2 linked regions of the Bombyx mori genome follow. The main gene of each other region encodes a partner of the protein of the gene in region 2 in a complex. Links are inferred from orthologs where the notes say so. Each region holds a gene or a part of one and is shown on either strand. Other genes may lie near its edges.

Evidence for each region.
Region 1: the proteins of endoribonuclease Dcr-1 (region 2) and Loqs are in contact, whole or in part, in a cryo-EM structure (PDB 8DGJ), measured with the Drosophila melanogaster proteins. The link is inferred for Bombyx mori from reciprocal best matches to the Drosophila melanogaster genes Dcr-1 and loqs. Residues at the interface, in NP_524453.1 of Drosophila melanogaster: His245, Phe248, Asp251, His252, Arg253, Asp255, Glu258, Ile259, His303, Tyr306, Gln307, Glu310, Lys311, Lys313, Arg320, Leu323, Cys326, Leu327, Ser329, Thr330, Ile333, Gln334, Tyr336, Ser337, Leu338, Glu340, His341; in NP_609646.1 of Drosophila melanogaster: Thr358, Gln359, His360, Ser361, Lys363, Val364, Phe367, His368, Lys372, Ile414, Glu415, Glu416, Lys417, Thr418, Phe419, Gln422, Gln424, Pro433, Val434, Gly435, Val436, His438, Ser440, Asn454, Tyr458, Ile461, Met462, Lys464, Lys465.

Annotation. Positions count from the first base shown.
Region 1 is NC_085114.1:6,389,691-6,392,295, forward strand, and holds part of Loqs (loquacious), read right to left. Parts: coding exon 2,488-2,605; exon of another isoform or gene 2,173-2,487; intron 2,055-2,172; coding exon 1,885-2,054; intron 928-1,884; coding exon 793-927; intron 706-792; coding exon 457-705; 3' UTR 1-456.
Region 2 is NC_085117.1:4,311,836-4,315,777, reverse strand, and holds the start of endoribonuclease Dcr-1, read right to left. Parts: upstream 2,673-3,942; 5' UTR 2,051-2,672; intron 1,604-2,050; coding exon 1,455-1,603; intron 1,042-1,454; coding exon 882-1,041; intron 153-881; coding exon 27-152; intron 1-26. UniProt on the Drosophila melanogaster protein: Endoribonuclease which functions in microRNA- (miRNA) gene silencing and, independently of its ribonuclease III activity, also acts in the short interfering RNA- (siRNA) gene silencing pathway.

The sequences.
Region 1 (2,605 bases), on a different chromosome or scaffold from region 2:
AGGAGTTAATTATAGAATTGAATAGCTATCGCGAAAATTATCTCTTGAAACGGGGGAACAATAACAGAGTTGAAAATAGTATCTCAGTGAAGTATATAGGCTCCAGTAACTCCTTAACACAAGATTGGCCGTGAGCTCGTTCACTTATCTTAGCTATAAGTTTCAAACTGCCTACCATAAATTAACCAAAAAAAAAAAAACAAGTTGGTTACTGCAAACATGCCAGTTATAAAGCATAGCCCAAAGTACTATTGGTACATAGATGCGTACTATTAATGCCATTATTCATATGGAAAGTGATGCAACAATATGAAGGCTCAAAACCTAACGACATCAATACAAAACACATAGTGATATGGCCTGCATTAAAATTAAATCTCATAACGTTAGAGCCCATAGATCAAATGCATAGGTCGTCGCACTGGTCTTTGCTGATGTCGTAAGATGTTGAAAATTTCACTTTTTGGTCATAATCTTGAGATACTCCAAGGCGTTCTGAGCAGCAGATGACTGGGCATCCTTGCTGGTGAGGCCGGCTCCGTGGCATACAGCTACTGGCAATGTGGAAAGCTGGACAAGACACTGACATAGACCAGTCATAGACTTTTCTTCTATGTCGACATAGGTCACCTCAAAAGATTGCTCTGATGCTATTTCTTGCAAGAACTGAACGAAGTTAAAATCCTTATTGTTTAGTGGTGTCACCTGTTTTATAATTAAATAAATTAATATTTCAAATGACAACATTCATGCCAAAAATTGATACTTTCATGCAAAACAACTGTTTCATACCTGCAACTTGGCCAGGTTGGGGCCAACAGACTGTTTGAGATGTTTGTGGAACTGCGACACTTTATGGCTATGGCTCGTGGTCAATGTGGAGATTTTACTATCTTTCAAATCGGCATAACGGGCCGCAACACCGCCCTATAACATAAAAAAAAAACTTTTATTGTCAACCGACTCTTCTGTTGTTTCAGGCCTGTAACCTAATCGAAAGATAGTAAAATACCTGGCCAAGTGCGAACAACAATAACAATTTTAGGGGAATGTTCCAAAAATCAATTGATGGATATTGACAACTATTACATGAAGTTAATTATTTATAATAATTGAAATAAACTGTTGATGGTAAGTACATTCAAACAACACCAAGACAACTTATCAAATAATTGTAATTAATTTTCAGGTAATTATTCTGTTGATACACAAGGCATTATATTACACTCTGGCTTCACAATTTTTTTTAACTGACTATAAATTATTCCTCTTTTTTCATACATACAAATACCAATTTTACTAGTAAAAAAACAAACTGCTATTGCCAGTCTGGCTCATATACTTTTATTATTAATAAAACTTATCTAGCCTCAATATGGTTGAATCAGACAGAGAACATGAAATATGAACTTTAACATATGCATTCGGAGTTACAAGTCTAACAGGCAAATCACCTAGTACTCTGAAGTTACTTTTAAAGTTCCTGAGTAATATTAGACCTTGAGTCCGCGCGGGTTTGTACCACTACCCTGCTTATTTCTGCCGTGAAGCAGTAATGCGTTTCGGTTTGAAGGGCGGGGCAACCGTTGTAACTATACCTGAGACCTTAGAACTTATGTTTCAAGGTGGGTGGCGCATTCACGTTGTAGATGTCTATGGGCTCCAGTAATCACTTAACACCAGGTGGGCTGTGAGCTCGTCCACTCATAGAAGCAATAAAAAAAAAAAAAAAACTTTTTAGTTTTAGTTGTGTTATCAATGTCATCAAATTGTGAATACAAGCCCTTAATCAAGCAGTTCCATTTCAGCATCGGAAACAGCTCCCTTATATCCTATATTGAAGTGAGTTTATGCGATATAGTAGTAAAATTAATATTACTTTACCTCATCATCATTCTGGAAGGATTCTGGTGGGTTGTCCTGTAAGGCCTGCCACATCTTGTAGGCAGCTTGCCGTTTAGCTAATTTCTTTGACTTGCCTGTACCAACTTCACGGCGCTTGAGCAATGTGCAAATGATCGTAAATTGACGTTCATGGGGCAAACCTGAAACTGCTACAATTTTTGTAGTATTGTAGACCCACATTCTTATGTTTCACATAAATTTTACTATCAATTATCAATGATTTATTAATATGTAAAATTATATTAATGTAAAAAATATATTTCTTTTCTATTTATTTAGATCTAAATATACTTAAGTATACAGTGTTAGTTGTTATCAAATATTACAAATAAAGTAATAGAAATGTACAACTTCTATTATATTATATCATTTTATAGTTTCCTTAAATAATATACAACATAACATAATAATATAATGGACAACCAAATGACTACAAGAAGACTCAGAAGAATAGTGCATATAATTTATTTTTTTCTCAAAATTATGGTTGAATGTCTAACTTTAAAAAAAAGTCACTTAAGCTAATAAATAAAAAGCCCTTGCTAAAGTAAGTACCTAAGTAAAATTAGTACGAAAACTTACGTCTATTAACATTGTCATCGTTTTCAGCATGGTAAGATGGTGGTGGCCAGAATCGTGACATACACAACTCCTGAAGCCATCCAACAGGATTACCCATTAGTTTATCTTCAAATGTAGG
Region 2 (3,942 bases):
ACTTATATATTTTAAACTTCACTTACATATTTCAAATTCTCGTCGGTCACTATTAAATGACAGCTATCAATTATTAGAACATTAATATTCGCCATTGATATTATTCCCTCTTCTAGAATTCGTTTTAAAACTACTGAAGTGCAGACCAAAACCTGAAATAGAATTATAATATAAAAGCATATTATGTTTTTAAAGTTACTTCACTTTTTTAACTCTTCCTAAGCATCATGACTATGGAAAATTGACCAGAATTGGCCAGAAAATGGGCATAGCAGCATTCTCATATTATTCTTATATTATTCAGTATATTATATACCAGAGTACTGTGACTTCCATTCATTAAAAGTATTCTATGGACTGTGTAAAACAACACAGGCCACCCCTACCGCACTAAATGACTCCCCTGCACTCAACATTAAGTGCTGGCAGTCAACATTAACACAGGCCACCACCCTAGCTCTTTCTGCCAAGAAGTAGTCATGCACTCCAATTGAAGGATGAGGCAGCTTTTATACCATACAACTGAGACTGCGACTTCATGTCTCAAAGTAGGTCATCCGGTAACTACTTCAGCAAGTGGACCATGAGCTTGTTCACAAGTCAACATATTAAAAAAAAAATTGTGATAATTTAAACAAATCTAAGTTGAACTATTTAATATTGAAATTGTTTAACTTGAGGAATGCCTATGTAAGACTAGTTATAACATAAATTGAAAAAGTTATATAAATAGGTAGTTAAGAGTTTTATATGTTCTCACTACCGCTGCCATATGCATGAGAGAAAAAGAAAGATTGATTGGCACCACAACGCGTTACGCAATGATGCGGTTTACCCTCCCATAAGAAGTTATCACTTCAAAATATTTGGACAGTACTTACTTCTTTCTTATCAAGTTCCGCGTACCAATCATACACATCATCGTATTTCTCAGCCTCACACAACGACAAGTCGGTCATAATCCTCAGATCGTAGGCGGTGCATTTTATACGATCCTCTCTTGTCACGTGCACTGATCTCTGCTTATTATCATAGAGCGACCTGGGAATATTGTAAATGAGGCATTTAACTGTTTATTGATTTCTCAGATGGTTAATTTAATGGCTCATTTGACAAGCCTTTCAAAATGAAAGGAAGAAGGAATTATTACTACTTTGTGAAAGAAATAAATTGGAAGCAAACAGTGGAACAAGAATGACATCATCATTGGATATTGGATGAGCATCTCAACACCGAAACTAGAGCACATTTACAGTAGAGAGCCAGTCTGAATACCAATCCTCCTCACATAGTCTGAGCCTGGGCACCCATTAAAATTTCACCTTGATTTCATTTTGACCTTGACACACTCTGTATTAAAAACACTAGAACAACAATCACGTATTTAAATATTTTTAGCAGAATTTGACAGAGCCAAGACAACATTAATTCCACAACACAAATAATACACTCACCCTCGTATCTTATAAGCTTCTTCATAGACCAGCCTGGTTGCAATGAAATTTGAGTATTCCACAGCAAGGGTGTTACGTTCAGATGCAATTGCAGCGAGACGAGCACCCCCTTCAGCTGTGGTAAACTTGTAAATTGATGGCTCCACCATCTGAAATTACAGTTGGTAATTTGCAGTATACATGTATTGTCTTCAAATGTAATGACAAACATCATATTATATTAAAGTACACAATTGGTCTCAAAAATTTTGTTTTATTGTAGATAAAAAGAATATATAATTGTTACCAGCAGATTTGCCTGTATGGCCAAGGAAATGTGACAAGTTTTCTAAAGATAATGACACAGATTCCCCAGAGAATGAGATGTTTTTTTGAATAAAAATGAGCGCTATGTTACTCTTTTAATACAATCAATTTAAATAAAATCATGTCAAACGTGATCTTAATCTTTCTTTTAGCATGAAAGAATAACAAAAAAAAACACTTTCAACGAAATAAAAATAATATGGATTTAATTATCTAGTATTGTGTGAATTTAGTAGTGGATCTAATAACTAATCACTGCAACTACTGTACTCTGGGGGTGATTTTCAAACCTGATCGAAAACATAAGATATTCTGGGTCTGGGTTAGGTTGTTATTGTCTCAAATATTCAGTAAGCAGAGTTCTGAATCGTATCTCTGCTCAAGGTTTTTAAATATGGAACACAATTTAGTTTTAGAACTCGTTAATTATGACCTTATTTATTTATCTTCGAGGATCAGAATGGCGTATCTAAGCAACAGTTAGTTTACTACATAGCACCCAATAAACGTTTTTAAGTGCGTAGGTTAGTTTATCTTAGAGTTGATTTATTTGGTTTTTAAACTTACAGTTACTATTTCGTTTCCTTTAAATATAATTCACGACATAATATACCATTTTTAACAGTTAAAAATAATGAAATAGTATCAAATGCAATTAAATTTGTAATAAACAAAACGTATTTACGAAGTTATTATTTATATTACAGCGATTATAGAAATTATTTCTAGGTAAACGTTAATTTTATGTACAAAAGTAAATTATGTGCATTTGGGTTTTATCCGAGAAACCGTTTATGCATTAATATATTTAATTAATATCATGCAACTCTCCTTTTGCACAACATTTGCCATTTGATTCGCGTCTACTGCAAAATCAGATAACAGTGCTGCCAATGTCTTGAACCTTCGATCAACAATAGTAACTATTGATGATCGAAGTCTTGAACATATAAAATACTAGGTTTCATACTTCAGTGTAAAATACACTTTAATTATGAGCCTTGAAGTAAAAATATTTTTCACTACCTACATGCTTTATTTTGTGACTTAGACCTTTTGGGTTCCACCCAAAAAAAATTACATTTGGTGTCTGTTTTTGTATAGTCATATGAGGTGCTGTGGTACTCCCATTTTCATTAGGATCGATGGCAAGGGCAAGATATAATAAAACAATGTTTTCAAGACATAGCATAAAATATAATAATGATAGATGGTAAAAATGACAATGTGTTCGAAGTATATTTCAAATAATGGAATATGAAAAAGAAGGTTACAACATTCCTCCCCATCTACATCTCGTTGATCAGACGGCGGGGTGCCTGTATACGTCGATTACTTCGACGCGGAGCAAATGGCACAGGAGTGGAGACCGGAGCAGGTGAGGAGTATAACTTCGAATGCTGTGAAGGTGAATTTGGAGAAATTTGTACATTTGTAGGTGACTGCGGTGTAGGTAATGGTACTGCTGCCGAATTCTTGTTTTTAGTTAGCCTTTCGTCAATTGTTGTGTCCATTCCAATGTCTGGAGAAGCAGTCGCCGGCAGCATAGAAGAATGCGCCCTTTCATTCCTCGGGGTTTCTGAGGTGGAGGACTCGCGTGGCCTGATGTGATCAGCGTGTCTTCGTTTTTCTAGTCCTCCTGGTGTTGAAACAATATATGAATATTTATGTTTACGGGATGTAATTACCGCTGGTTCCCATATTTTATCATTGCGTGTTTTAATATATACTTGGTCACTTGGTCGGTAACTCGGTGATGTGGTACGAATGTTTTCTTTTACTTGTAAATACTGCATTAATCTTCTTTTGTCTGGCCGAATGTTGGAAAGTATGCAATTCAATTGTCGTCCAAACATCATCTCAGCTGGAGATTTACCAGTGGACGAGTGCGGAGTGTTTCTGTATGTAAACAAAAATTCTAATAGTCGGCGCTCGAGATTTGTGTTGTCTACCGATGCCATTCTATTTTTGAATGTTCTGACTAAACGTTCTGCCAGCCCATTTGTTCGAGGATGATATGGAGATGATGTGACATGTAAAATAGATTGTTTTGTGCAATATTCTTTAAATTCATAAGATGTAAATTGAGGTCCATTATCGGATATAATCATTTTTGGTAAGCCAAATGTACAAAATATGTTATCTAATGTAAGACAAAGTGATCTGGTGTTGATGTGTTTCA